Mus musculus: one gene and its partners. The main gene of each other region encodes a partner of the protein of the gene in region 5 in a complex. Links are inferred from orthologs where the notes say so. Each region holds a gene or a part of one and is shown on either strand. Other genes may lie near its edges.

Evidence for each region.
Region 1: the proteins of Tgfb1 (region 5) and Nrros are in contact, whole or in part, in a cryo-EM structure (PDB 7Y1R), measured with the Homo sapiens proteins. The link is inferred for Mus musculus from reciprocal best matches to the Homo sapiens genes TGFB1 and NRROS. Residues at the interface, in NP_000651.3 of Homo sapiens: Leu30, Ser31, Thr32, Cys33, Thr35; in NP_940967.1 of Homo sapiens: Phe194, Glu195, Ile196, Glu197, Gly198, Gly199, Phe201, Leu210, Leu212, Pro218, Cys219, Ile220, Val221, Asp222, Phe223, Gly224, Leu225.
Region 2: the proteins of Tgfb1 (region 5) and Itgav are in contact, whole or in part, in a crystal structure (PDB 5FFO), measured with the Homo sapiens proteins. The link is inferred for Mus musculus from reciprocal best matches to the Homo sapiens genes TGFB1 and ITGAV. Residues at the interface, in NP_000651.3 of Homo sapiens: Gly242, Arg243, Arg244, Gly245; in NP_002201.2 of Homo sapiens: Asp178, Asp180, Phe207, Tyr208, Gln210, Ala245, Asp248.
Region 3: the proteins of Tgfb1 (region 5) and Tgfbr2 are in contact, whole or in part, in a cryo-EM structure (PDB 9FKP), measured with the Homo sapiens proteins. The link is inferred for Mus musculus from reciprocal best matches to the Homo sapiens genes TGFB1 and TGFBR2. Residues at the interface, in NP_000651.3 of Homo sapiens: Arg303, Lys309, Trp310, His312, Tyr368, Tyr369, Val370, Gly371, Arg372, Lys373; in NP_003233.4 of Homo sapiens: Phe47, Leu50, Phe53, Asp55, Ser72, Ile73, Thr74, Ser75, Ile76, Cys77, Glu78, Val100, Asp141, Glu142.
Region 4: the proteins of Tgfb1 (region 5) and Itgb6 are in contact, whole or in part, in a crystal structure (PDB 5FFO), measured with the Homo sapiens proteins. The link is inferred for Mus musculus from reciprocal best matches to the Homo sapiens genes TGFB1 and ITGB6. Residues at the interface, in NP_000651.3 of Homo sapiens: Pro70, Gly71, Pro72, Glu75, Leu158, Asn237, Gly245, Asp246, Leu247, Thr249, Ile250, His251, Met253, Asn254; in NP_000879.2 of Homo sapiens: Ser142, Ala143, Ser144, Asp146, Asp147, Pro196, Cys197, Ser199, Ile200, Pro201, Tyr202, Lys228, Lys231, Ile232, Ser233, Ala234, Asn235, Ile236, Asp237, Thr238, Glu240.
Region 6: the proteins of Tgfb1 (region 5) and Lrrc32 are in contact, whole or in part, in a cryo-EM structure (PDB 8VSC), measured with the Homo sapiens proteins. The link is inferred for Mus musculus from reciprocal best matches to the Homo sapiens genes TGFB1 and LRRC32. Residues at the interface, in NP_000651.3 of Homo sapiens: Leu30, Ser31, Thr32, Cys33, Lys34, Pro325, Pro327, Tyr328, Ile329, Trp330, Ser331, Leu332, Thr334, Gln335, Tyr336, Val339, Leu342, His346, Ala353, Pro354; in NP_001122394.1 of Homo sapiens: Ser135, Tyr137, Glu158, Ser160, Thr162, Val184, Met186, Asp187, Ile188, Glu189, Asp190, Phe193, Leu202, Leu204, Arg206, Asn207, Ser208, Leu209, Thr210, Cys211, Ile212, Ser213, Asp214, Phe215, Ser216, Leu217, Leu223, Leu225, Cys227, Ser229.
Region 7: the proteins of Tgfb1 (region 5) and Itgb8 are in contact, whole or in part, in a cryo-EM structure (PDB 7Y1T), measured with the Homo sapiens proteins. The link is inferred for Mus musculus from reciprocal best matches to the Homo sapiens genes TGFB1 and ITGB8. Residues at the interface, in NP_000651.3 of Homo sapiens: His117, Thr241, Arg243, Arg244, Gly245, Asp246, Leu247, Thr249, Ile250, His251, Gly252, Met253; in NP_002205.1 of Homo sapiens: Ser156, Ala157, Ser158, His160, Asn161, Asp213, Tyr214, Asn215, Leu216, Gly248, Asn249, Ile250, Asp251, Thr252, Glu254, Gln286.

What each region holds. Positions count from the first base shown.
Region 1 is NC_000082.6:32,142,223-32,145,867, reverse strand, and holds the end of Nrros (transforming growth factor beta activator LRRC33 isoform 2 precursor), read left to right. Parts: intron 1-862; coding exon 863-2,836; 3' UTR 2,837-3,083; downstream 3,084-3,645. UniProt on the Homo sapiens protein: Key regulator of transforming growth factor beta-1 (TGFB1) specifically required for microglia function in the nervous system.
Region 2 is NC_000068.7:83,722,815-83,727,604, forward strand, and holds the start of Itgav (integrin alpha-V precursor), read left to right. Parts: upstream 1-1,582; 5' UTR 1,583-1,920; coding exon 1,921-2,105; intron 2,106-4,790.
Region 3 is NC_000075.6:116,109,316-116,113,305, reverse strand, and holds part of Tgfbr2 (TGF-beta receptor type-2 isoform 1 precursor), read left to right. Parts: intron 1-3,002; coding exon 3,003-3,802; intron 3,803-3,990. UniProt on the Homo sapiens protein: Transmembrane serine/threonine kinase forming with the TGF-beta type I serine/threonine kinase receptor, TGFBR1, the non-promiscuous receptor for the TGF-beta cytokines TGFB1, TGFB2 and TGFB3.
Region 4 is NC_000068.7:60,670,730-60,675,328, reverse strand, and holds the start of Itgb6 (integrin beta-6 precursor), read left to right. Parts: upstream 1-1,635; 5' UTR 1,636-1,866; coding exon 1,867-1,927; intron 1,928-2,617; coding exon 2,618-2,697; intron 2,698-4,599. UniProt on the Homo sapiens protein: Integrin alpha-V:beta-6 (ITGAV:ITGB6) is a receptor for fibronectin and cytotactin. It recognizes the sequence R-G-D in its ligands. Internalization of integrin alpha-V/beta-6 via clathrin-mediated endocytosis promotes carcinoma cell invasion.
Region 5 is NC_000073.6:25,696,765-25,700,754, forward strand, and holds part of Tgfb1 (transforming growth factor beta-1 proprotein preproprotein), read left to right. Parts: intron 1-153; coding exon 154-231; intron 232-360; coding exon 361-508; intron 509-3,990. UniProt on the Homo sapiens protein: Transforming growth factor beta-1 proprotein: Precursor of the Latency-associated peptide (LAP) and Transforming growth factor beta-1 (TGF-beta-1) chains, which constitute the regulatory and active subunit of TGF-beta-1, respectively.
Region 6 is NC_000073.6:98,488,553-98,492,988, forward strand, and holds the start of Lrrc32 (transforming growth factor beta activator LRRC32 precursor), read left to right. Parts: upstream 1-1,438; 5' UTR 1,439-1,545; intron 1,546-3,487; exon of another isoform or gene 3,488-3,585; intron 3,586-4,436.
Region 7 is NC_000078.6:119,162,195-119,165,658, reverse strand, and holds the end of Itgb8 (integrin beta-8 precursor), read left to right. Parts: intron 1-2,158; coding exon 2,159-2,322; intron 2,323-2,419; coding exon 2,420-2,542; 3' UTR 2,543-2,856; downstream 2,857-3,464. UniProt on the Homo sapiens protein: Integrin alpha-V:beta-8 (ITGAV:ITGB8) is a receptor for fibronectin. It recognizes the sequence R-G-D in its ligands.

The DNA of each region.
Region 1 (3,645 bases), on a different chromosome or scaffold from region 5:
CAGTTGACATGCTGACACTTATTAGCCATAATAAATGTGATTTGCATACTCAATCCTTGAAAAAAATTCTATGAGAAAATTACAAGCATAATGGTTAGTGACTTTTATCTGAGAGGGAGGCTGAGACTATCTGAGGGTCTCCCTTTCTTTCTTTCTTTCTTTTTTTTTTTTTTTTTTTGAGGCAGGATCTTCTTATATAGTCCTGACTGGTCCCTAACTCTTTAAGTAGTCCAGATTGCCTCAAACTCTCAGAGATCCTCTTGCCTCTATCTCCATGGGTCCAGGGATTAAAGGCTTGTGCTACCATGCCCAGTTTCTTTCTGTTGTTGTTGTTGTTGTTTTAAAGGTGTATTTTATGTATATGAGTACACTGTAGCTGTTTTCAGACACACCAGAAGAGGGCATCAGATCCCATCACAGATGGTTGTGAGCCACCACCTGGTTGCTGGGAATTGAACTCAGAACCTCTGGAAGAGCAGTCAGTGCCCTTAACCTCTGAGCCATCTCTCCAGCCCCTAAGTTTTATTTTAATAACCCAGTAAAGAATTTGAAGCTGCAAGAGGTTAGTTAGTTCCTTGCTCAGGGTCAAATTAACAAACTATAGAACCCAAACCTGGGCATCTTCGTATTAGCCACTGCGCCTTCCAAGAGCGAGGCCTCTTACACAACTTCATTGCACTTTGCCTTGGAGGTTGGCTGTTTGGTACTCACTGGCCTTGCCCTCCTGACCAACCTGTAGAAAGCAATAGTATTGCTTTTCTTACCGTTCTTCTCTGGACACCTAACCCAACACCTTCTGGCTAGCTGTTTGCTTTTGCAAACTACATTTCTGTGAATTAACCTCATGTGTTTGTGGACCTAGGTCGACGGAGTCGCTGACTGCCGGGGTCTGAACCTTGCTTCGGTACCCAGCAGCCTCCCACCCCATTCCCGGATGCTCATTCTGGATGCTAACCCTCTCAAGGACCTGTGGAACCATTCCCTCCAGGCCTACCCACGCCTGGAGAACCTCAGCCTGCATAGCTGTCACCTGGACCGTATCAGCCACTACGCCTTCCGAGAGCAAGGCCACTTACGCAACCTGGTTCTGGCAGACAACCGCCTCTCGGAGAACTACAAGGAGTCAGCCGCAGCACTCCACACCCTGCTGGGACTTCGGAGACTGGACTTGTCTGGAAACTCCCTGACCGAAGACATGGCGGCTCTCATGCTTCAGAACCTCTCCTCGTTGGAGGTTGTGTCCTTGGCAAGGAATACCCTCATGAGGCTCGACGACTCTATCTTTGAGGGCCTGGAACACCTTGTAGAGCTAGATTTGCAGAGAAACTACATCTTTGAGATCGAGGGCGGGGCGTTTGACGGCTTGACTGAGCTGAGGCGTCTCAACCTTGCCTATAACAACCTCCCCTGCATTGTGGACTTCAGCCTCACCCAGTTACGGTTCCTCAACGTCAGTTATAACATCCTAGAGTGGTTCCTGGCAGCCAGGGAGGAGGTGGCCTTCGAATTGGAGATACTGGACCTGTCTCACAACCAGCTGCTCTTCTTCCCACTCTTGCCTCAGTGCGGCAAGCTGCACACCCTCCTGCTCCAGGACAACAACATGGGCTTCTACAGGGAGCTTTACAACACCTCCTCCCCGCAGGAGATGGTGGCCCAGTTCCTTCTTGTGGACGGCAATGTGACTAACATCACAACTGTCAACCTCTGGGAGGAGTTTTCCTCCAGCGACCTGTCAGCTCTTCGCTTCCTGGACATGAGCCAAAACCAGTTCCGGCACTTGCCGGATGGTTTCCTGAAGAAGACACCTTCCCTTTCCCACCTGAACCTCAACCAGAACTGCCTGAAGATGCTCCACATCCGGGAGCACGAGCCGCCGGGAGCACTCACCGAGCTGGATCTGAGCCACAACCAGTTGGCAGAGCTGCACCTGGCTCCGGGGCTCACGGGCTCCCTCAGGAACCTCCGGGTGTTCAACCTGAGTTCCAACCAGCTCCTGGGGGTCCCCACTGGCCTTTTCGACAATGCCAGCAGCATCACTACAATCGACATGAGTCACAATCAGATCTCACTTTGTCCTCAGATGGTGCCCGTAGACTGGGAGGGGCCTCCCAGTTGTGTGGATTTCAGAAACATGGGCTCTTTGAGGAGCCTTTCTCTGGACGGCTGTGGGCTGAAGGCATTACAAGACTGCCCGTTCCAGGGGACCTCCCTCACTCATTTAGACCTGTCTAGCAACTGGGGGGTTCTGAATGGGAGCATCAGCCCTCTCTGGGCTGTTGCCCCGACATTACAGGTCCTGTCTCTCAGGGACGTGGGCCTTGGTTCTGGCGCTGCAGAGATGGACTTCTCTGCGTTTGGGAATCTGCGGGCGTTGGATCTGTCGGGAAACTCCCTGACCAGCTTCCCAAAGTTCAAGGGCAGTTTGGCCCTTCGGACTCTCGACCTCCGCAGAAACTCTCTCACGGCCCTCCCTCAGAGGGTTGTGTCCGAGCAGCCTCTGAGGGGTCTGCAGACCATCTACCTCAGCCAGAACCCTTATGACTGCTGTGGGGTGGAAGGATGGGGGGCCCTGCAGCAGCACTTCAAGACTGTTGCGGACTTGTCCATGGTCACTTGCAACCTCTCTTCCAAGATCGTCCGTGTGGTGGAGCTGCCCGAAGGCCTGCCTCAGGGCTGTAAGTGGGAACAGGTGGACACTGGTCTCTTCTACCTCGTGCTCATCCTGCCCAGCTGCCTCACCCTGCTGGTGGCCTGTACTGTCGTCTTCCTCACTTTTAAGAAGCCTTTGCTTCAGGTCATCAAGAGCCGCTGCCACTGGTCCTCCATATACTGACCCGTGTGCCAAGGCTAGAGACTTGGTTTTTCCTCGAGGATGCGTCTCTCCGCTGGATCTTTACTTTTGCAGGGGTCGAGTGTGATGCATTGAAGGTTAAAACTGAAATTTGAAAGAGTTCCATCCTCAGTCCCATTAACTTCTCCTCCCATCCGTGTGATTTATCCTCATTGTCCTGGTGAAATATTTATTAAACGACATTCTGTGAGAATAAAGGGTGTGCCTCATAAATATTTTAAAAATCAAATGCATCTTGTGTAATGTCCTTCAATGGTTTCTCTTGGGTTATTTTTCAATGATCTTTCTTTGGGGGACATCCATGCAGGCTAAGGGTGACAGTCTGATGCCACCTGACAACAAATATATCTCCTACTGTATGTCTGGGGAGGGTGAGTGACAGCATCCTGGAGATTTACCCAGGACAAGAATCTGAAGGTACTGCTGAAGGGTCTGGCACCAGATGTGAACTCCCCACTGTGGTATTGGCCGATTGCCACAGCAGCGAGAAAGAAGTTGTGGTAGGACCCTTTCCAGATGTCCTGGGTTCACATCTGGAGTCTCTAACAGACAGACATAATGCTTCCATGGACAAGCTAAGAGAAGAGTAACTCAGCCTGAGTTTGTACTGTCTGTGACCTACGGGCTGTGCTTGCTCTGAGGGAAAACAGGAATATTCAGGAAGGAAGGCAACCCAAGCCTCCTCCCTGTTGAACCCGCCCCACCCCCATCACCCCCATCACTTTGAAAGCAAAGTTCAGCCTCTGCTCACCAGGTTCATGAAGACCTCTCATTCTTCCAAGAAAAGCAGA
Region 2 (4,790 bases), on a different chromosome or scaffold from region 5:
GAAAATCCCAGACTTGTCTTTAGTCTCTAGACCTGAGGGTACCCGACTGGCCGGCAGCATGGTTTTCAGAAAGAGATGCAGAGAACACAGGGAGTGCACAGAACATTCTTGCTCTCCACGAATCATTGTCTGCCTCTTAAACCCCACATTCTGATCCCAAATGGTGACAAGGAATGAAAGAGCAACCACAGGGTCTTGTGTATAAGTATCCACACAGGATTTCCTGTCTCTGAGGTGGCTTTTACATAGGTATTAGCCTGTGGCTGATAAGATCTCCCAACAGTTTTGCTGCTTATTTTTTACATTTTAAAAATCAACTTGCTTAACCCAACTAAGGCTATCCACACCCCCACACATGATTACTTATGTTATGAGATGAATGCATGCTGACACTGAGGTGTTTTTTCTGCTGTGTGAGACAGGGATCTTCTTATGTTGACTGGGCTCAGGGGGGCCTACTGCCTCTGTGCTTAGTCTGGGACTGATTTTTAATAACTGTTTTGGGAAAATAGTTCAAATTCTCCACTACTTTACTTGGAAGTATGCAAGGCCTAAGCAATGCATTTATATTTAATCATTTTATCCTATTGACCAAATTCTTCATTCCTTCTTCTTTCTTCGTCTCACCCTTCTCCTCTTCCTCCTCTTCCTTCTTATCTTGCTCCTCCTCTTCCTCTTCCTCCTCCCTTCTGAGACAAGGTCTTACCTGTAGGCCTGGCCAGCCTGGAATTTGCTACACAGACCAGATCCTCCTGCTTCTCACTTCATGGTGCTAGGATTAAAAGCATTTGCCACCACATTAAAAGCATGGATCACCACTCCCGGCCCATTCATCAAATTGTTTAGCACTTGATATACATAGAACACAGGAATACTGAGCAAATTTACAAAAACAAACAAAAAAAAACCAAAAAAAACCAAAACAAAACAAAAAAGACTTATTTTGTGTGTATGGGTGTGACCCACGTACATGCCTGATACACACAGAGGCCAGAAGAAGAATTGGAACTGGAAAGCAAGAAACAGAAAAGAAAAAAGGAAAGGAAGTAAAAGAAAGAAAAGAGAAGATCCAAGCACAGGCTTGAAGTCTTCTGGGTGGATTTGAGAGGCTCATCACCTAAACTTTGCCTTGCAACGTTTTTGTCAGCCAGTGAGATCCAGTTCCACACACCGCATCCGGGAGGAGCTGTGCTAGCCCTCTGGGAGTTTATAATTAAGTTCAGTGTGTGGAGGATGGAAGGGGAGGGAAATGGCATATAATTACAGAGTTCTGTTGGTGAGCGCCTGCCGGGCTAAGTGGCAGAAGTAAGAGAAGCGGATAAAGCTTTCCGCATTCTTAAACAAAAGTCCCTCAGAAGTGCCTGGAGGAACCAGGGAACGGGGTGTGCCTGGTTCTTTTTCTTTTGATTGCAGCCAGTCCCCGGCTTGCAGGGCTTCGGCTGGAGGCGCGCTGCCACTGCCCCCCTGGTCCTTTGGATCTGGGCCGCAGTCCCGGGACAGCCTCGGAGGACCGGCCGCCAGCGCGCACGGAAGTGCGCCCGGCCTTCTCCTGTGGGAGGCCACCGTGAGCGCGACTTCCTCTTTCGGCGGGGCGGCCCGGCCTGGCCGGCTCCTCCTCCTCCCCGGCCTCCTCCCCCAGTCCGGGCTGCTCACGGTTCCGAGGTACTGTGCTCGCCCCGCCACTTCTCAGCGCCAGGCACCGCGCGAGCCAGCGACAGAGCCGGAGTCCCGGGTCGGACACCGCTCCTCCTGGGTGCCGCCCGGCTCAGCTTCGCGCCGCCCGGCCGCCCCGCCGCCCTTGACCGCAAGCGCACAGCACAGCTCGGCAGTTCGGGGGCGCGCAGGCGGCGGGCCGCGGCCACCGAGCACCGGGACAGGGACTGAAGTCTTTCGGCTCTGCGCCCCGCGCGCGCCCCGGCGATGGCTGCTCCCGGGCGCCTGCTGCTACGCCCTCGCCCCGGCGGCCTCCTGCTGCTGCTGCCGGGTCTCCTGCTGCCCCTCGCCGACGCCTTCAACCTGGACGTCGAAAGTCCCGCCGAGTATGCGGGTCCCGAGGGAAGTTACTTCGGATTCGCCGTGGACTTCTTCGAGCCCAGCACGTCCTCGTAAGTGGCCGCGCTCGAGTCCCCAGGCGCCCCCTCCCCCACCGCGCACCCTCAGCGGATCCGCACCCAGCCGCTGGCTCCAGGGTCCTCCCGGCCCCAAACCCGCCTACTCTCTCCATGCCGCGGCTGGCCCAGGTCTGGCATGGATGAAACTTTTGTGGGGATGACCTAACCTGACACTCAGCATCCAGTTTCACCGTGTCCCCAACTTCTTCTGATTGGCTGGGGACAGTGCGAGAGAGCTTTGAAGGAGCTCTGTTAAGCATCCAGGAAAAGTGAGACATCTGTACAGGCTTGTCCTGCGAGACTTTTGGCCATCTCTTGTCATTCCGTAACTTGCTTCACTTGGCCCCAGAATTTTTTTCTTCCGTATCAACCAGTTAGCCTCTTCCTAGTGCTTTTTGCTTTCTGAAATTAGCTCTTCCTTCGTCTGATTCTCTCTCTCTCGCTCTCTCTCTCTCTCTCTCTCGGTTTTTTTCCCACTCCTCTTCTAGACACTCCGATGACTAAAGTGACCAAATTGTTGTATTAATTTGTAAAGGACTATGAGACCTTTGCGCGTTTAAGGTCCACCAGATGAATGGAATGCGTCATCTGCTCCTTTCTAGTCCACTATTTAGGTCATTGTTCAGACAGAGCGAGGGTGTTTGCTGAGTTTTCACTCTCTGCAGGTCACTTCAATGCTGAAGAATACAGCAGGTCACGTAGGCTTTCAAATTACTCACGTCCCGTGTTGCAAAGTTCCTGAGGATTTGTGACGGCTAATGTCGTGTTTTTGGATTAAAGTTGTCTTTGACTCAACGCTGGCATCATTCTCATCCCTACTAGTGTAGGAAACCCCGATTAAATTGATGTTTTTCATGTCTATTACATTGTATTTCCAAAGAAACGGTTTCTTTAGTTACTTCTTAGTGTACCCCTTGGGGTAACAACATATTTTTTTTTTACCACAAACCCCCAACTCCCCCCCCAATTTAGTTTTGGGGAGGTGCAAGGCATAATTTTGATGGGTAGGTGATACAAGGTTCATTTGAAGGTGACCTAAGTATTTGTCTGAGGTAGTTGGGGCAGCCTCCAGGGTTTGTCACCGTTTTCCTGAACACTGATGAGTATCATAGGAACCAGTCCTTAAAGCAACCTGTAGCTTGGGTGGGGTTGGCAAAAATCGACATTGTTTATGTAGAGCACGGTTTGATTCACATTGTCAGTGCTTTCTGTTAGACCTGAGCTCACACTCTCCAAAAAAACAAAAACAAAACCAAAAAACCACAGAAGCACCAATTGCAGACATTTAACCACTCCCGCCATGCGAATGATCTCTTTGTATGGATAGAGTAGAGCTTGGGGTTCTACTCAGGGGCCCAGGCTGCTGAGTCTGTAATATACCTCTGAGCTACAGCCACATCCACTCTATCAGACCGCTTTAGTTAGCTCACTGTTTAAAAGTTTCTCCTTTCCATGTATTTTTTGTTTGTTTGTTTGTTTTTGGTTTTTCGAGACAGGGTTTCTCTGTATAGCTCTGGCCATCCTGGAACTCACTTTGTAGACCAGGCTGGCCTCGAACTCAGAAATGCGCCTGCCTCTGCTTCCCGAGTGCTGGGATTAAAGACGTGCACCACCACACCCGGCTCCATGTATTTTTTTAATTGTATGCTTTTTACATCATGGCCACTGCACTTGCCCCCTGGGTGTATCTTTTAGATTAAATTATACAGAAATTTTTCTGACTGAAAATATATTCTCTGCCTTACAGGAATTAGCAGTTAAATACTTCAGAGTTGATGGAGTGTTTTGCAGATGTTATTACTTTTTACTGTTATTAATTTAGTTGGTTTTTGTTTTTGTTTGTTTGTTTGTTTGTTTTTTTGCTTCTGTTTGTCTATGGCAAAGATTTAGTATCCAAGATACATCCAGAAACATGGCAGGCTGGCAAGCTTTTAATTGTCTTTTGCCATGGAAAACAGCAGTTTTGAGCTGTTGGTGGTATTTACTATTGTTGATTGCAAGGAATGTAACTAATCTTTGGAAAACATATGGATATGCAATGAGCTCATACATTTACACAGTCTCATGTTTACAGGAACTTATGCATGAGTTTTAATAGTAAGATATTGTGGAACTTTGGAGATTGCATGTTGTATTTTGAAACAGTCACTATCAACTTTGGTACCAAGAGACCAGCCTAACATAAAAAAGAAAGCAACTTTGAGGGGCCCCCTCCCTCCCAATACACCTAAACAACGGTTTATACTTACTGACTCTTCCAGATTAAATGAAGATTATTACAAAATTATACTTAATCTTAAAATAGAAAAAAACCAAAACCAAACAAAATTTCAGATGGTGGTAGCACATGCTTAAATCCTAGGACTCTGGAAGCAGAGTCAGGCAGATCTCTGAGTTGAAGGCCAGCCTGGTTTACAGAAAGAATTCGGGGATAGCCAGGACTACACAGAGAAAAGCTACCTCATCCCACCTGCCAAAAACCCAACCAAACAAAATTATGCTTAGTATTGGCAAAGGCACCTGTATATTCACTATATATTCAGCAAGCATTAGAATCCACAGTATTGTATGTCATTATCTGTTGCATATATTGATAGTTCCTTTTTTCCTTTCCTTTCCTTTCTCTCCCTCCTTCCCTCCTTCTCTCTCTCTCTCTCTCTCTCTCTCTCTCTTTCTTTC
Region 3 (3,990 bases), on a different chromosome or scaffold from region 5:
CGTCTGACACCCTCTTTGGTCTCTGAGGGGTCACCTACACACACACACACACACACACACACACACACACACACACACACACACACACGCACGCACACGCATACACGCATGCTCTTGCACCTAATTGAAAATAAAAATTAAATAAATCTTACAAATAAAAATTTGTGTTTTGAAGGCCCCACCACCAAACTGCCTGCCTTTTGCACTTTGTTAAATATTTATTTTGTATGTATGAGTGTTTTGCTTACATGAAAATATGTGCACTGCATTTGTGTTTGGTGCCTGTGAAGGTCAGAGGAGGGTGCCAGATTCCCTGAACTTAGAGTTAGGGACAGTTGTATGTGGATACTGGGAACCAAACCCAGGTCCTTTGCAAGAACAGCAAATGCTCTTAATCACCAGCCCTCTTTTTCCTGTTTTTAAAGTGTGTTCATGTATCTTTTCAGAAGACTCTGCGTTCCCCATGTGGTTCCTGAAATTCTGAGGTTCAGATTCCTTTAGTTTTAAGTGGCATCAGACAGAACTCCTGCCTTGGAGTTTGGTCAGTGGGTTCAACAAACATTTTGCCCAAAAGACAGTGAGTCAGAACACCCCATGTCTGTGTGCCCCCCTTCCCTTCATTTCATACAGTGTCACTTTAAGTGGCTGGATCAAATGCCAGTTAGGATCACATTCCCTCTAAGGCTCCTCAGCCATCTTCCCAGCTGACTGGCTTGAATTCTCATCACTCACTCCTGACCCAGGAACTGAAGTGGCTGAGTATTGTCTCAGCTCCTGTACCCTCCACGTTTCTATAAGCATCCTCACTCATACATTGTAGCATACACCTGACTCCCTTCTGGAATGACACATCGCTCAGCATTTATGGGCATGCCCCAACTGCCCTACTCGGTAGCTTAAAGACAGCACAGTACAGCAGCATGCCTAATGCCTAGAGCAGACAATCAGGAATGCCACAAATAGAGTGTCAGAGACTCAGGCATGCTCTCTAATGAGTACCTCATGGGCAGATGAACAACACACAACTAGAGTTCTGGCATTCGCGTGGATGTCGTCAATGACCCCTCTGCACATTATAGACTAAGAACCATGTCCTTTTCTCCAAGAGAACTAGAAACAAATGATCAAGGCTCTGATAGGTGAACCAAAGCTGTGCATAAGACATTAGGTCCCTGTGTGTTGTGTCCATTGTCGGCAACCATAGGCGATGCAAAGAGAGGGATGTTGAGTGGACATAAGGTGACTGCTCCCCCTGCTTCTCAGGCCCAGAGCTGGTGTTTCAAGGTAGTCTGTGTGGGAGTCAAAATCAGAGTGAATTGGAAGTTGGGATCAATAGGAACAACAGGATTGTGGCAGTCTCTAGAGCAGTGGCTCTCACCCTTCCTCACGCTGTGACCCTTTAATACAGTTCCCCATGCTGTGGTGACCCCAACCATAACACTATTGTCATTGCTACCTCATGACTGTGTTTTTGCAACTGTTATGAATCATAATGTAAATATCAGTGTTTCCTAATGGTCTTAGGCAAGGAAGCCTTTGACCCTCAAAGTTCATGACCCGCAGGTTGAGAACCAGTGATCTACAGTTTTACCAGGTACTATTATGGACTGGCTGCTTTTGTATTCCTGTGACCAAATGGTTTGCCCAGAATCAGATTAAGGAAGGAAGAGAGTATTCCGGCTTGCAGTGTTTAGAGGCACCATCTGTCACAGTAGTGAAGGCTGGCTGGCACAACCTGATCGTACTGTATCCACAGGAAGTGGGGTGGTCACTGAAAATCAGCTTATATACCTTAAGACCTGCCCTATACGACCCACTGTCTCTAGGGAGTAAGGATCCACTTGGTGAAAGTTTTATAACCTTCCAAAACAAAATCAGCAGCTGGGAGCCAAGTTTTCAAACACATGAGCCTATAGAGATAAGGATGGGGGTGGGGCAGGGAGCATTGAACCATATCTCTATAGAAGCAACCATTCACAAGCAACAGTTACGTATGTCTTTCTACCTCTATCCCCAGTGCCTCACTCAGCCTTAGGCATTGTCTAGTATGTTGTGTCACTCAGCCCTGATTGTACTGACATGCAAACACGGAAAGGCATAGAAGCCGCAAAAGACATCGTACTAAGTTTCCCCAGCTTTTCTTAGAGAGTGGCATTTGAGCTGAAATTTAAAGAATAGGAGGTATTTGAGTGGAATGATCTCAGACAGGGACTGTCTTTGCTCATTCCCATATTCTCACCTGCTCCTGTTCCTGCTCTGTTCCACATCCAGGTCACCCGGAAATAACAGCTCTGTGCCTGGGTGGTATGGAGCGGCATGGAAAAGAAGGTGTCTTGGAAGCCTTGCTTCTTTATGTCAACTGTGTGAGTGTGTGTGTGTGTGTGTGTGTGTGTGTGTGTGTGTACATGTACGCACATATATATATGTGTGTATGTCTGCAGGTACACAAGTGTGCAAGTGTGTGCATGCAGACACTAGTGGGTTTCTTAGGAATGGTATGTACTCTTTCAGGAGCAAGGTCTCTCACTTGACCCGAGACTCACTGATTTAGCTAGACTGACTGACAAGTGAGCCTTAGAAACCTGCCTGCCTCCATTTCTCCCAAGCTGGGATCACAAGTGTGTGCACATTTACATTTGGAGGTTTAGCACGGGTCCACAGAGCAGGTGCTTTACCAGCTGAGCCCTCTACCCATCTCTGTCCTTCCTGTATGTGAATCCTCACGAGGAAGAGATTTGGAGCTAGTATCTAACAATGCCTTATGCATTAGGTTTTGGTTTATATGGTATCCTCGATCATCTCTGACTCAGCTACACACTGGGAGGGGCATGGACAGTGTGGCAGGGTGTAGAATCATCAGCTAGAATCCCTACCTAGTATCCGCGGACCCAGTTTAGATGCTACCGTGCATAAAGAATTGATTATGGACTTGCTTCCCGGTAGGGGTGATGCACACCTCCAGAGCCTAATGCCTTCTCTCCTTTGTCTTCTCTCCACATCAGAATACACCACCAGCAGTCCCGACCTGTTGTTGGTCATTATCCAAGTGACGGGTGTCAGCCTCCTGCCTCCGCTGGGGATTGCCATAGCTGTCATCATCATCTTCTACTGCTACCGTGTCCACCGGCAGCAGAAGCTGAGCCCGTCCTGGGAGAGCAGCAAGCCCCGGAAACTGATGGATTTCAGTGACAATTGTGCCATCATCCTGGAGGACGACCGCTCCGACATCAGCTCCACGTGCGCCAACAACATCAACCACAACACGGAGCTGCTGCCCATCGAGCTGGACACGCTGGTGGGGAAGGGCCGCTTCGCCGAGGTCTACAAGGCCAAGCTGAAGCAGAACACCTCAGAGCAGTTTGAGACCGTGGCTGTCAAGATCTTCCCCTACGAGGAGTACTCCTCGTGGAAAACAGAGAAGGACATCTTCTCCGATATCAACCTGAAGCATGAGAACATCCTGCAGTTCCTGACGGCCGAGGAGCGGAAGACAGAGCTGGGCAAGCAGTACTGGCTGATCACGGCGTTCCACGCGAAGGGCAACCTGCAGGAGTACCTCACGAGGCATGTCATCAGCTGGGAGGACCTGAGGAAGCTGGGCAGCTCCCTGGCCCGGGGCATCGCTCATCTCCACAGTGACCACACTCCTTGTGGGAGGCCCAAGATGCCCATTGTTCACAGGGACCTCAAGAGCTCTAACATCCTAGTGAAGAACGACTTGACCTGTTGCCTGTGTGACTTCGGGCTGTCCTTGCGCCTGGACCCTACTCTGTCTGTGGATGACCTGGCCAACAGCGGGCAGGTAAGTGGAGGCTGGTGCTCTGTCCTCAGACTTCATGCCTGGCTTCATTTCTGCCCCATCTTTTATTTTCTTTTTATAATTTTTCATTTAGAGAGGGGTGTGTGTGTATGTGTGTGTGTGTGTGTGTGTGTGTGTGTTAAAAGTGTGTGTGTGTTAAAAGTGTGTGTGGGTGCACTTTCCCAAGCATG
Region 4 (4,599 bases), on a different chromosome or scaffold from region 5:
CACACACACTGAATAGTTGAGAACAAAACATACCAAACAAAAGAGTGGAGCCAGAAAAGGATGGGAGGGAGGGATGGAGAGATGATAGTTACTGGGTACCAGTATGCCATTTGAGAAGGAATAGTGTCTAATATTCTAAAACACAGCAGGACAACTTTGGTTGGCAATAATTTATTGAGTATTTAAAAAAAGCTATCACAGAAGATTTCAAACATTCCCCAAGGAAATTACACACACACACACACACACTCTACCCTAAGGGTGCATTCAACTGTTGTGTCAATTAAAAATAAAAGTATATCTTAAAAGGACATATCTGGCACAAATGCTCAGAAAACATTTGTCAATGGGTTTTCAAAATGGCGGCCACATCATAGGCAGAGAGTCATAGTCCCACCATCCTTCAAATGCAGGCACACATTTCACACACTGTTTTTTCTCTCTCAAAGTCTCAGTTTTCAGCTCTCTAATCTGGATTCTTACAGCAGGAGTCTTTCTGTTTTCTTCCTGGGTTTTGTATATGACAGAGTTGAAAACTGAATATAGGCTGCTGGAAAAAAAAATCTAAGTAGTCTATAATTTGTTTTCTTCTCTTTCCAGGTTTCTCACGCTTGCCTGGAAACATACCTTCAAAAGACAGTCTCCCAGGACGTGAGCCCAGACAGAAAGGAGCCTGCCTGAGGTCAGATGGCTTAGCGTGACGGAGCATTTGATTCCTACCTGCTCACAGTTTCTACAAATCCCAAACGGCCCCTGAAGGGAGGGTGGGGGCTAGGGGGCGGGGGATACAAACCTCACAGATTTACCTGTAGAATATACACATTTTGAGCTGTCATCCACATAACAAGTAAATGATTCATATGTGTCAAGCCAGGGGCTGGAAGCCTTTCCTTTCGTTTATATTATTTTAACCTTGTTTATCGTAATGTTTTGTTTGCTTGCGGTCTTGGTGTTTGATGGACCACGGGACCTTCCTTGTGCCACCAAATGCTCTCCTTGGTCACCACCCTGGAAGAATGCTCTCGAGACAGAGATTCAGAGTCGTGACTGCTGTTGTTTCTCTCTCCGGTGTTTCTATTGTGCTGAGGCTTTATTTTGGTCTAGTTGATCTTCATATACAGTGCTTTTAATACGCTTTTAAAATTAAGAACTCTAAAGGTGTGAAAAATAGCTCTTATATAATTTGAAAGATAAGAAAACAGTGTTTTTTGTTCTACTTTGCCTAACTTCTAATTTGACTGTAAAATAATGTTTATATTTTTCAGAGCTCATTTCAATTCTCTGCAGAGGCTCTAACATGAAAACCAAACCTCTCAGGTATTTTAACTTGTTTTTTTTTTTTTTTTCTTAAGCTTCCTTACATTTAAGCTTAACTTCTGTGTTTCATTTCACATCCTTACAGCATTAAATTAAAATTGTTATGAACACCATACATTTAAATCGGTCTTTTGACAGTTCATTGATTAACATTTCACTAAAGAGGCTCATTTGCTCTAGGATACAGTACAGCTAATAGAATTGACACACATGCAAACGTCTCCTGCACTAAGTCTCCCCACCTTCCCGGGCACTGTACACCTGACTTCCTTATAAGGTGAATGAGGAAGTGAACATGTTGAAGTTGCTTTTAAACACAGCTTTTCTGCTTTGCCTGTCCAGGTAGCTTCTGTTTTCATTTTAGTCTTAGTGAAAGGTTTTGAATTTACAGCTCAAGTTACTTTTCAAAGCAGTGTGAGTAGTTTTACTTAAAAAACAAAACAAAACCAAAAACCCCGGCAAGAAAGACTTTCACGGCTTCCAGCTTTGGTCTTGTAACCCTGAAGGTAATTCATTTTTAATCTGTCTGCACAGTGAAAACTGAACCGAATGGGGATTGAGCTGGTCTGCCTGTTTCTGCTACTTCTAGGAAGGAATGATCACGTCCAAGGTAAGCCTGAAGCTCTCTCAGATATCGCTCTCATCGTAAGCTTGACAAACTGTCATTTGCTTCAGAAAACAGACCTGCAGTCATTTTTCATTTGATCTGTCTGATGGCTCTCGTGCCACTGAGACACTTTCACAAACTACAGGCAGACGTAGAGCATTTCCCCCAGTGAATGTTCTAGGTACAAGGTAAATAAACACAAAGGCTTCACGGGAATTTTAATGAGGAGGATTAGACAGAGTTCCTGAACAATGGGACTTGTGAGTGTTGTCCGGATAGCCACTTCAGAAGCTTTTCTGTTTTGTTGCACAACAAGGCCGTCCACCTGGGAGTCACAATCATGAGAGTGGAGGATTCGGCAACAGAAATGCTGAATTTATAAGAGAACCCTTTTTAATGCGTACAGACATGTTTTTGAAATTAAGCGGCAGGTGTTGAACAGGAGGCTAAATGCGATGATTCTGTACTGAGCAGTTAGACACGGTTGCGGTCTGAGACACTGTTTTACATGATGTAGATGTTTCCATTGTGATGGGTCTAAGCTATAAACTTTGATGTGAGTTACTAGCCTTCAGAGGATTACTTTTATAAAGTAAATTTTTAGATAGCTTCGCTCTAGTAAGAGGGGTTAGTCCCCTAAGCTGGATGAAGGAGTGGGCTTTAATCCTTGCCTCTTGCTGGCTTTGCTCTTAGGTGGCTGTGCCTGGGGTGGTGCAGAAAGCTGCTCAGACTGCCTGCTCACAGGACCCCACTGCGCCTGGTGCTCCCAGGAGGTAAATCCCTGGCTCTCACCCTGTTTCTAACACTGTTTCTACATCAGTTAGCATCCTCAGCGAAAGCGCTTCTCTCAGTGCGGTTGAATGAGTAACAAGTTTAAGAAAGGAACATGAGGGTCAGTGGACCAAAGTCGGATTCATCTATACTTTGGAAACAACTTACTGAAGGAACGGATGCCAAATTGTTCTTTAAAACCTGAACATCCTTTACTAAATCTAGACAGTTCTTTTATTTAACTTAATTACTTTATTTATTTATTTATTTTTATTTTTGAGACAAGGTCTCACTACATAGCCCTGGCTGTCCTGGGGCTCACTATGTAGACTAGGCTGCCCTGGAACTCACAGAGAGGTGGCTGCCTCTGCCTGGCCAGTGTTGCCAGCCACCTGGTTACTTCTCTTGCTATAAAGTCTTCCTAGTTGTTTGCTGGTGTAACATTCTGTCTGGATAATTGGTGGCCACAAAGATATTGTCCAAAGTGAAGCAGACATTGAATGTTGATACAATGTAGTTGTGTTCGCATCAGGGACCCGAGATCCGGTGTAAGTCTGTGCTAGGTACTTCGAGAAGGGAAATCTACGATTCAGCCATCAGCCAATTCCTGTACAAAGTCATGAACAGAGTGAGCACAGGAAACTCTCAAGTGGTGGTTCTCAACCTGTGGGTCAGGGTCCCTGTCAGGGTTGGATGACCTTTTCACGGGGGTCGCCTAAGATCATTGGAAAACACATGGATTTACATGACAATTCATAACAGCAGCAAAATTACAGCTGTGCAGTATAAACCAAAATAATTTTATGGGCGGGGCTCATCACAACACACTGTATTAAAGGGTTGTGGCATTAGGAAGGTTAAGAACCACTGCTTTAAAGAAATGGTCCTAGTCTGGTCAGAGTGAAACTTGCGTGAAGAAGTGTGGAGGCCATGAGGGCTAAATAACAAGACAGACCAAGTCCCAGCCTATGTTGTGATGAAGAGAGCAAGGTGTAGTGTAAATGATTCACACTAAGAAAAAGCAGTCTTGGTTTTCTGGATTTTTAAGTCCCATCCATTGGAAAGAATCTAAGTGCCAATCAAGGCTTACAAATGCCAACAGCAAAAGCCAAATAGCATGCAAAGGGAAAGGAATCTAGATGCCTGGATCAGACCTGGGCTGTAACTATTTGCACCCAAAGTCCCCACTTATTACACATCTGTGGAGGGTTGCATCACATGCAGAAGCATAAACCATGCACCCCGCCCCCCAGTGCCCCACACTACCTTAACTGCTTAGGCCACAAATAAAATTCAAGGCAATTATTCTCTTATAAGGTTTAACATGAAATGCAGGGTTGAGAATATTCAACAAGGAACAAGTCCATAGACTCTTTGGACACTGTCTAGAAGATAATATTAGCTTCATGGCAGAGACAAAGAATACTGTGTCAATCTGGAGTTTATGTTTACTTTGTGTGTGTGTGTGTGTGTGTGTGTGTGTGTGTGTGTGTGTGTGTTACCCATGGAGGCCAGAAAACAAAATCAGATCCCCTGGAACTACACTTATAGGTAGTTGTGAGTTCCTTGACATGGTGCTGGGAACTGAACTTGGGTCTTCTAGAAGTATTGTTAGCTGTTGACCTCTCTCTCCAGCACACTAGAATGTATAATTAAATTCATTTTTTAGCATAATCGGGTGTTTCCTAAGGTGTTACTGAGGGTTTTAGTTGTAGCTGGTCAAGTGATCATCAAGTTTTAAGGCCAGATCATTTCAGAGGCCTCTCCAATAATAAAAGCAGTCATGAGTACGTCAGCTGAGGCAGGCAGATGTGGCCGTTAGCGCAAAAGATGAGCAAAACCGAGAGTATACACAGACTCACAAACTGCACGTCTCCAACTTTATTCTTTCTTTTTTTAAAAAG
Region 5 (3,990 bases):
GAGCTGAGCCCTGAATAAGGGGAGAAGGGTCCAGCAATTCAAAGAATAGGAGCAAGAATGAAGTGTGGGGTGACTAGCCGGGAGCCCCCAAGGCTGGCAGTTTCCTGTCCCCTCTTCCCCCTCATATCCTCAGACTCCCTTCCTCTCCCGCAGACGGAATACAGGGCTTTCGATTCAGCGCTCACTGCTCTTGTGACAGCAAAGATAACAAACTCCACGTGGAAATCAACGGTGAGCTAACTTCCCGGGTCCATCCTGACACAGGCCCCTCATGGTCTGTGTGCACGTGCATGTGTGTGAAATCTCACCCATCCCTCTAAGTGTGTGTATGTCCTTCACCACAACATCCAAACCCAACAGGGATCAGCCCCAAACGTCGGGGCGACCTGGGCACCATCCATGACATGAACCGGCCCTTCCTGCTCCTCATGGCCACCCCCCTGGAAAGGGCCCAGCACCTGCACAGCTCACGGCACCGGAGAGCCCTGGATACCAACTATTGCTTCAGGTAAACACTGTCTCTCTCCGAGGCTGTGCAGGCTGCGGGCTGACTGCAGCCTGTGGACTGGTGTGCCACCATGTATGCCTGCAGGGCTTGGGGACAAGTTCCTGGTTCTGTGGGCAGCTGAGAGTCCTAGAATGAGGGGTGTTTTCTTCCTGGAGTGCTGGGATCAGGGAATTCAACAAGAGTTGGAAGTCTGTTGGAAGGTTGTCTGGTTGGGTTTTAAAATTCTTGCCAGGCTTCTGCCACTTTGGGATGCTAATGAAAGAATTTACTGTGAGCCATGGAGCGTGTTGACCCCAGGAAAGCTGGAGTGCTGGGATCCAAACATTTGGGTTCCGAATCAGAAGGTGGTCTGCACTGGGTTCCCACACTCTTGGCAGATGGTGGTCTCCAGTGCTGGTGGATGAGAGCGGCAAATCCTGGGTCTCAGAATGGCAGGGCTGGCAGGGAGATGTTAGCATCTAGAGTGGAGGTGGAGAAAGCCAGAAAGTGAGTTTCCTGAGGGCCAGCGCTTTATCTGGCAGTGGTGCACCCTGAGGAGGTGAGAAGATAGAACTTCTGAGATGTATGTAGGCTTGGAAGTGTGAAGTGTTGGAATATAGTACTGAGATAGGGAACTCTGAGGAGACAAGATCTCTCAGAGTCAGAGAGTGGGCGTCCTAGTGTATCCAGAATGCCCGTACCAAGGGCCAAAGCTTTTTGGTCATTGTTTTTAAGTTATATCTCTGTGTGTGTGTAGGGCCATTGTGTGTGTGTGTCTGTGTGTATGTAGGGGCATCCATGCCACAAAACTGTGTGACGGTCAGAGGACAACTGTTGGGAGTCCGTTCTCCTTCCACCATGTGAGTCCCAGATATAAGACTCAGGTCATTGGGCCTGGCTGCGAGCACCTTTGCCTGCTGAGCCATCTTGTTAGTTCTCCTTTGTTTGGTTTTGTTCGAGACAGGGCTTTGCTGTGTAATCCAGGCTGGCCTCAGATTCACTCCTTTAGCCCAGACTGTCTTGAATTCTCTGTCCTGGGATTACAGATGTCACACAACCACCCAGTTCCAGAATGGTAGACTCATATTAAGCCTCGGTACTGTGGATGAGAGAAAGAAATTGGAACGTTAGATCCTAGAAGGCATGAAATTCAGGGGTGTTGAGAGATGAGAGCAGTGAGCTGACCTATCCCTTACCTGCTTCAGACTTTATAGAGTTCTGTGTTACATATCGGTCCTTGGCTGGCCGGCCTCCTCCTCCTCCTCCTCCTCCTCCTCCTCCTCCTTCTCCTCCTCCTCCTTGTCTTCACCTTTGGTTGTCAGCCTTCACATAGGATCAGATGTCCGGTCTTCATACTGCAGGTTACTAAGAGATGCAGGAAGCTATGTAAACTCTGTTCCTCACATACTGGGAAACAAACTCAGGGAATCATGAAAATCTCTTTGTCTGTCTGTCTGACTGACTGACTGTGTCTGTCTGCCTGTCTCTCTCTTATATTTGTTTTGCCTATGCCTGATGTATATGTGGGCTCTGGGAATCCGAAACCAGGTCTTCATGCTTGCACAGCGAGCACTTAATTCCCTGAGCCAAGTCCCCGGCTGTGACAAGCAAAATTTTGCATGGAAGAACACCATGCCATCGAGCAAGGCCTATCAGACACATCAACCATGATCTGATGGGAACTGTAGCTCCAACTCCCATGTTGCAGGGAACTGCAACAGAGGGACAGACTAACAACATTAGCCAGCACCACAGGGACGCACCCAGCAAAGTGCAGATGGTGGGAAACCTAGTCATTTCTTCAACAGATACAGTGCAAAGAAGGGAGGGGAGGATATATAGTCCACACTACTAGAAGAGAGAGGAAGAGAGGGCTGAGAGGTTGGAGGAGGAGGAAAGAAAAGGAAAGGGAAAAAGATGTTTATGGGACACAGTGGGAAACATGAACCTTGAGTAGTATTTGATTTTAGTGATTTAATGTTAAATTTTTGCCTGGGGAAGGGGGCTGGAGAGATGGCTCAGTGGTTAAAAGCACTGGCTGCTTTTCCAGAGGACTTGCGTTCAGTTCCCACCACCCATAATAAGGATCACACCTGTCTATAATTCTAGCTCTAGAGGATTTGATGCCCTCACACATGCATAAGTGCAGGTAAAACACCAATATACATTAAAAAAAAAAACAAAACAAAACAAAACAAAAAAACCAACCCTCCCTAGGATTTTGTTGTTGCTGCTGCTGCATTTGTGATACTGAGAAAACCCAGTACCTTGTACATAGTAAAGAAGCACTCTACCACTGAGCCACGCCCCCAGCCCCTCACTGGGGGATTCTAGGCAGGGGCTCTACCACCAAGCCACGCCCCCAGCCCCTCACTGGGGGATTCTAGGCAGGGGCTCTACCACCAAGCCACGCCCCCAGCCCCTCACTGGGGGATTCTAGGCAGGGGCTCTACCACTGATTTATATTTTATATTGATTTATACTTTTGATTCATGTTTAAATTGTAAAATATTCCTCACTTTCTAAGAGAAAGTGAACTTTTCTACAAAAGTTCATTAAACAAATGAAAAAACTACAGTGGCGGAAAGAAAGTAGGTGGAATGAAATTGGCCACGAGTCAGCAACTGTTGTCATTTACAGTTGTGGAGATGCGAATTAGTTAAGAATCCATAATTCAGAAGTCCAAAATCTCGCTGGCCATGGTGAGCAAGGCTGTAATCCTAGCGCTGGAGTAGGAACGGGAACCGCAGGAGGTCAAAGTCATTGATAGGTACGTCGTGTGTTTGTGGCAACCAATCAGACCCTGCCTCGAGAAAGGGGGTGGGGCATCTGGAAGGATGAGGAGCACAGCTGCTCTTTCAGAGCACGCAGATTCATTTCCCAGCAACCTACATGGCTGCTCCCAGCAATCCATAGTCCCGTTCCAGGGAATCTAACGCCTCCTCCTGGCCCCCATGGGCTCTGCACGTATGTGGTGTGTGTACACACATGTTCAGAGAAATACTCCTACACATAAAACTTTTTTTTTTTTTTTTTCCGAGACAGGGTTTCTTTGTATAGCCCTGGCTGTCCTGGAACTCACTCTGTAGACCAGGCTGGCCTCGAACTCAGAAATTCACCTGCCTCTGCCGACCGAGTGCTGGGATTAAAGGCGTGTGCCACCACGCCCGGCTCGCTCTCTCTCTCTCTCTCTCTCTCTCTCCCTTTCTTTCTTTCTTTCTTTCTTTCTTTCTTTCTCTCTTTCTTTCTTTCTTTCAAGTTGACAGGTGTGGTGCATGTCTCTGATCCCAGCATTCAGGAAGCAGAGGCAGGCAGATCTCTGAGTTTGAGGCCAGTGACAAACAAATTTCAGGCAAATACATAGATCCTGTCTCAAGAAATATGAATAGTAATAAAAATAAAATAAATATGTAAAGTCTATGTAAATATCCCCTTACCCCAAAAAGCTATACAGTCTAGAATGTTTCTGGTCCCTAACGTTTCTGAAAAGGGGTATTCCGTTT
Region 6 (4,436 bases), about 73 Mb from region 5:
GCTCATCCTGTAGTGATGGCACCAGCCCTGCCCTGCCCCCACCTTGAGCCAAGTTCTAGGGCAACTCTGACGGTGTGAGAGAGCATCAGGCCATCATGGGGAAGCAGGTAGGGAGAGCCCCAGCCTACCTGAGTCTTTGTTCATGCTCTGCCCTCGCTACAGAGTAGTCACAAAGCCCCTTCCTCGATTGATACATGACCCCATGGACTCCAACCTGGAAAAGGTGTCCTCCTAAAGCAGCAGATGAGGAACGGTCTCTAACACCCATCGGGTGCAGGCCCAGGCCTACATCGACTTCATCCAAAAGAGCGGCTCTTGCCATTCTACACTTGGCAGAGAGGGGAACTGAAGTTCAGTCTGACTAGATAGTACACACAAGGGCTGAGGTGGGAGAGCCACAACCCTGAGAGCTCCCGAGGGTGGGTGGGGGCAGGAAGCTGGGCTACTCTGCTGCTCTGACTCCTTATAGCATCAGAGGATGCCTCCTTGGTGAACCTTTCCCTGACCTTAGGTTAGGTCAGGGCTCTAGACTGGAGTTGTCAGGGACTGTCCTCTCTGGGTTGTTCGCACCGCATGGGTCCATCCAACCACTGTGGACTAGATGGGAGGAAAGGCCCAGCTCAGAGCCCAGCCCTACTCTGGCTCACCCCGCTTGGTGCTGTTAAGATAGGGTGGATGGCCCTCCTCTAGGCGCTGTGACCACCAGGGAGAACATTATGAATACAGAACTAGAGACTGGAGGACGGCAGCAACACTCTTCACCCATCTTTCAGTCTAGACCCAGCAGGGCACGGTGCCAGTGTCTGAGGAGGCTAAGTACCTTGTAAAGGCAGCGGCTTTGGGTAAGTTATGAGACTGTCATTATGCAGTTTAACCTATCAGAGCCTCAGGTCCCCCAAATGTCCGTGGGGACCTGACAAGTCTCAACCAGCTGGCTTTTCCCTCATCCCACTCCTAGCCTCAGCTTCTCTATCAGTAAGCAGGGGACACTGACAGGCTTGGAGATGACTTAAAGGCAGGATAGCTGGGGGGGGGGGGGGGTGGATGGGACCCCCTCAGGGCCATCCCAGGGCCAAAGAAGGGTCACTTCCTTCCGTGCCGGTGGTTGCCAGTCACCTCTGGGTGGCCCCCTGCCTTGGTGCGGTGGCGCCAGGATTTCCTCCGCGGACCTGCGGCTCCCTGCACCCAAGACCTCGCGGGCCCACGGCTGCACGTGCGGCTGCCTCGGCCTAGCTTCTTTTGTGATCCTTCTCCCTCCAGTCGTTTTTCGGTTTCAAGCGCCGCCCTAGCTGGGTCCGGGCGATTCCAGAGCAGAGGCGATGCTCGGTTCCTAGGTCCGCACGGCTGGCAGGGCGGTGTTAGGACCCCGCGGCTCAGAGTCCCAGGGGGCGTGGCCGGGCGGCCGGTGCTATTTAAAAGGCGGGCGCCGCCCCCTCCCGGCCGGCTGGAGCGGCGCTGCAGCGGTCCGGCCTCGGCGGGCCAGACCCCCGGGGTTGCGCGAACGATGCGCGGAGGAGTCAGGCGGCGGCGGCGGCGCTGAGCCAGGTAGGGGCGGCGGTCGGCGGCGGTGCCTAGAGAGCTAGGGCCGGACCCTCCCTCGGCACCCGGGTGTTAGCAGATCTACCTAAGGAAGGGCTCAGATAGGCGTTCCCATTTGACAGCTGGGAAAATCGAGGCAGGAAGCTCTGGGTGTGCCTAGGAGCACACAGCCAAGCAAGCAGATTAGGATTTGAATTCAGGTCTGCCCCAGGCAGACATGGGCTTTCCACACTACCACTATTATCTGGAGGGGATACCCAGAACTCTTTGGGGAGACTTCTTTATGTGTGATAGATAGGAGGGACCCCCCTACCCCACCTCCACCCTGACATTTCACATCACAAGCACATTCCTTTGGGTTAAGGTCTGATTCCCCTGAGATGTAGGATGTCTCTAGAACGGGCTGCCCCTAGTGAGTGATTCACTGCACTGTGAGCCTTGAAGCTGCTCTCCCAGGCCCCCTTTGACAGTAGTCATAACAGACTGAGAGCCCTACCGCTCAGTATACTCCTGGGCCTGGGGCTGTAGGCTCCTGAGTAACTTAGGAAGGAAGTCTTGGCAGTTGCTTTGGAGGCACAGGGGCTGGATTCTGATACCGACTCTTCGATTTACTGTACAAGTGCCTTAGGGTAAGTCATTTCTCTGAATCTCGTGGTCTGGGAGAGAGATCCACAGGGTGCCCGTGGGGTCTGCACTAGTGGAGACCACCCAGCACTAAGGGACTATAGATCTGGCTGAGTCCCAGTTGCAGCACACCTAGGGGCTAAGGATCAGGCACTTTGCCTTCCCAAGCCTCGGTCCTCCAGTCTGTAAATGGGAATTATAGTAATCACCTCACTTGGTGGTTGTGAGAGTTAAAAGACCTGCAGTCAACCTAGGGCTTAGAAAAATTGTAACCTCCTTGCATAGTAGGGGCAGTCTTATTTTTATTATAGGTTTGACTCCACTATCTGTCTGTCCCCCTCTGTCATGCACGCGCGAGCACGCGTGCATGTGCACACACACATACAAGCACATACAGAGATATTCTTTGACACCTCTCCAATCAGAATCCAGCTACCTGCCTGCAGAGCCAGGACCTCTATCCTCAGCATCGTTGGTATCTGAACCATCAGGGAAGGACATGGAAGGGTCCCAGTACTTTCCTGGTCATGCTCCACCTGATCCATGCTAAGCAAGGATAGCCAGTGTTGGAATGGGAACTGGTGTGTCCTGCAGATGAATCACCTAGGCAAGGAGAGATAAAGAATTTGCCCTGAGGACCACACTAGCCAGTGGTGGGGCTTGACAGTGAGCCCTGGGTTTGAATGCCTCTGGTTGTCCCTGGGGGGCTGAGTTCTCACTGCTGCAGATGGGGCACAGCAGGGTGCTTCTTTCCACCATAATTCTGTGGGGACTGTCTCTTCTGGATGTGCAGAGGAAGGAGAGACAGGGTCCCTTTGGGCATCCCTACCTTAACCCCAGGTCCTAACTTGTCCTTATTGCAGCTGAATTTGTGACATCATTCAGCCACTTGTTCCCTGGGAGAAATTTAGTGAGCATATACTTAAGGAATGAAGCAAATGAGAAATGAGAGCGGGAGGGGGGATAGAACACCCAGGAGCCTGAGCAGGAACATTCTGGACCAGGAGGGAGCAGCCAAGCAGAGTCCTTCCCCATCCCCCATCCCCCTCCCCCCCACACACACCCACCACCAGGCAGCAGGGAAGGTACTGAGGTGACTGAGGAGTTTGCTGAGGGGAAGAAGGTGGTAGGTGGAGCTGATGGGAGAGAGGGTGACGTCTGAACGCTACTGGAGATTTCAAAGTGATTTGTAAGATCTGGCATGTGATTTTGAAACGTCACTGGGTGCCATGTATGGGGCAGATTGTCCCGTCCTAGAGGGAAGCAAGAAGGCAAACAGTGGAGTTGGCTGTTGCAGTGAAGGTGGGCGGCTTTGAACCTGCTGGACTAGGGCGGGGAGGGGCCAGGGGGACCTCTCCTCACCTGTATCCCATAGTGGAGACTTGCCTGCTGCTGCGCCATCTGACTTCCCTGTGTCATAAGGTGGGTCCCCACGGGTACTTCCTTTTCAAGAGGTAGGGAATCACAGTGGGGTGTGCTGTGTGCCCCACACTGAGCTGTCCGATGCTCAGCAACTGTGAGAGCCCTGAGAACACAGGGTAACCGTGAGAACCAGAGGAAGCTTCCTAGAGGACAGGGCATCTAAGCTCCACGGGTGAAGAGACATTGAGCTGCAGGGGAGGCAGAGGAAGCCAGGGGTCCAGAGGTCCAAAGGAAGCACAGGTCCGTACATGTGCTCAGGGCTCAGAGACAGAGCGAGGACAATGACAAGTCAGGTGGGAGACAAGAGCTGGCCGAGGGAGGGATGGTTGCCCAGGGCCTGGACATGAAGGCTGGCCCAGGAAGGGATAGCTGCTCAGAGCCTGGAGATGAAGGCCAGGGGCTTTCATTTAGCTCTGAGGATGCTGATGTTAAGCAGGTAGGGACTGCATTTGAACCAAAAGAACAAAATTTCCTGTGAATTCATAGCCTGCAGTGAAAGCGGAGCACTGTGGGGCAGGGCTGGGCTCTGGGGGAGCCAGGAAGGAGAGTTGAAAGGGCCACACTAGCCCCTGCGTGTTTCAGCAAGATAAGCAGCCACGGCATTGAGAGTCATCCCCAGTGGGTTCTGACAGTCAAAAGAGCCGGCACAGGCCTGCAGAGCTCTCCCAAGGCCATCTTTAGAGTGGCAACTCTCATTCCCTTACCCACTGTTGGAGACCTTCAAGTGCAGAGGCGAAGGGCACAGAGTCTACCATGTAGCTGTGTTGTCTTAGCTGTATTTTATAACCTCTCTGAGCCTCGGTGTTGTTTTGGTTTGGCTGTTTGTCTTTTCCCTTCTATAAACTAAGATG
Region 7 (3,464 bases), on a different chromosome or scaffold from region 5:
GTTTAGTACCTCAAATCAAAGAGGATGTATAATGGGAAAGATGTGAGAGCTATGCTCAAAAACTACTTTTAAACAAAAATTTACTGGAGCACTCCCAAAAGAACTCAAAACACTTTGCACAGGTCTAAGCTGTAAAACCACCTGTGAAATACAAGCTATACTTACAGTCAGATCTTTGGAAACGTTCATTTTGATTCTACTATTTCAACAAATAGAAAACCCAGCCCCGGAGAAATAGCAAAGTAGAAATGTCCTGCACATCTTAGTTTCCCATATTTCATTCCCTTAGCCCACAGTGAATTTGGCTCAGAAAAGAGTCCCATGTGCTGCCAGCTCAGGCTGCAGCAATCTCTCCAGAAAGCCAAGTGCCTTTCTAATAAAGAGGGCCCCTACATATCATTAATTAAGTTAAGTAAACACTACTCTGACTTAAGTGTTGTTGCAAACAGTGTTCCCTTAAAACTCCTTAGAAAAAGACCTAGCCTGACCTCAGCTAAGAAAAGCATGACCAGAGGCAAATGTTGGATCATCATAACAACATTGGGGAAAAATGAATACAGACTTGAACCCTCAACGGGTCCTCTGGCTAACACATTCATAATATTTCTGAAATGTATCAAACTACAAGACTTCCCTCCCCTTAACAACTATTATGCAAGGAAAGGAAAAGAGCATTTGTTAGGCACCTTAATTATTTGTCCACTCAACCACTCTTACAGGGTCTTCTTTCAGTCTCTCTGGCTAAGCTCCCATCAGGCAAAAAGCCAGGATAGGGATCAAGCCACGTGCCCCTCTAAGGATTGGCTTAGCTGATGGAGTAGACTAAGTCAGCCAAGGGATATCACAATCTGTCAGGACATAAGCTATGAGGGTCACTAACCTGAAGGAAAGAAGCTGTAAAAGATCAAATAGCACCACCTTTGGACACACACTTTGTATTCTGTACTCATAATATCTTTAACAAGGAAGCATTGTACCATACTGGCATCTGATGTTCCCATTTCAATGAATAGGAATGGGCGTGTTTTTTAACTCCACAAAGTCTTTTGTCACCAATCACAAACAATGGTCTCTATTAAGTCCACCTAGTTGTAGAAGATCTCTTGCCCCCATTATTGAAACCTTGCCTCATTTAAGAGGCATGCTGGGTTAGCATTGAGCTTTGGAGCCAGAATCAGCTATGACTGGATGCTACTATGCTCATGGCCTTGGCACATCCTCTCTCTAGATGCTCTTTCCTAGGCAACTGCAGCATTCAGACCAGGTCCCTGAAGCGTGCAAAATGGGTGGAGAAACACATGCTTCAGTCCAGGAAGTGTTTTATGAATCTGGGGCAGCTTGTGAGCTCTGTGGAATACCCACTATTGTGCAACCATATTCCTCAGAGACTAGAGTAGACCTCAGGCAAGCACAGAGCTTATACAAATTTTTCCAGTGAGAGTTTGCCAGAGATCTGGTTCTAAAACAAAGGTCTAGCATTTTCCCTCTCCTAACATGGCTTTTCTTTCTTCAGCAAGTGATTATTGTTCGAGGAAGAACACATAATGAATTTGTGGAGGCAAACAGACTAGATTAGTGAAGTTAATTAGTAAAAAGTGAGACGAGAGATTTGGGTATTGTCCAAGATGCAACACTCCTACTTCTCAGAGTCATGATGTCTAATAATAATGAAATCTTACACCAGGGTTTAGAGAAAATATTTATTTCCCTATTAGAGTAGTACTGAGTTTGCTTCTGCAGATGTTTACTTTATTTTCCATTACTGCTGAGCAATAAAGGAGGAGAAAGCATAAAAGGAAAAACACATGCTGAATGCTTGGGGCTGCTCAATATCCTTTTTAAATCATGTTTTCCACATAGTACTGAACTGTACACACCACTATAGCTCTCTCAGTCACTGTTCTAAACAAACTTACATATGGGTAAGAAATTTTGACATAGCAAGCTACAAAAAAATGAAATATTTTAATTGTGAATATTCTCCAAAGAAGGGTTCACTGTTTTGAGTAATCAGTAATGTCAACCTCCTATTGTGAAAATAGAGACTTGTAAAGAAACCTGCTTTTATTATAAGAATGTAAACTATATTTATTTGACAGAAAACTTTGGTTTACTTTAAAAAAAATTTTAACCCATTAACTTGTCTCCTTTCTTGCAGAATGTTTATCTGGCCCAAGCTATCTGCGAATATTTTTCATCATATTCATAGTCACATTCTTGATCGGGTTGCTTAAAGTTCTTATCATTAGACAAGTGATACTACAATGGAATAATAATAAAATAAAGTCCTCATCAGATTATAGAATGTCTGCTTCTAAAAAGGTTGGTGAACTCGGAGGACAATTATATTAATTATATGTGACTGTGCACTTCTAACACTCAGCTCTGTTACTAATCCTAATATTTCTTCTCCATCAAGGATAAACTGATTCTGCAAAGTGTTTGCACGAGAGCTGTAACCTACCGACGAGAAAAGCCTGAGGAAATAAAAATGGATATCAGCAAACTAAATGCTCAGGAGGCCTTCAGGTGCAACTTCTAAATAAGATTAACAAACAAACAAAAACTGTTGGAAGCTGGATGGTTTTACAATTTATTCTAGCAAGTATAATATAAAGTCACAGGAGAAGACAAATTATATTGAAGAGTGTGCCATGAAGACTGGCAAGTGTCTTCACAACCATATGACTCACTCAGCTGCTGAAGTTTTCAGTGAACTATGTGTCTTACTACTGTTGGAGACTAGTGTTGTAGCACTTTATTGTAATATATAACTTATTTAGATCAGCGTAGAATGTAGATCATCTGGGAAAGCACTGATTACACTTTACAGGTACCTGTCAGCCCTGAGCTTCACAGACAAACACGAGGCTATGGAGCAGGTTGCAGGGTGTCACCACCACAGACTGGTGATCCTTCTGTACAACCTGCTGATGAAAAGCATCCAGGAGTAGTTGAAAGCAGTCAACCACACCCGGCAATTGGCATTGTCGAGCTGTGTACAACCAGCTGAGTAAGGGTTAGGCTTTCATTTCAGTTTGGGTGAACAGATGAACTTTAATCTAAGCGGTGTTGCTTTTGAAGCTGTGCAGTTTTGTGCATGCACGGGTCTGTTTTCTTCTCCTTTGAAGCTGCGTGGCTTTGTGCATGTACAAATCTGCTTTCTTCTCTTTTCCAAAATGGATTTTGACTCCAACATCTTCTCCTTTTTGCATTTAAATTCTGTTTTTCTTCCTTTGGAATAAGTTTATAATGTCACAAATGACTGGATTAAATAAGTGCTAAGTTACTACTGCCATAGAACCTATATGACAATGTCACTTTACTAGAATACTGGTTTTAAAGCTGAATGTTAATAAGGGTCACTGTAAGGTGTCTAAGGTCATCTAAGTCCATAGCTTCTTTGTCTGAAGATAGTTTATATATTCTTACCTGTCAAACTGGATGGATTGTTTCACTCTGTC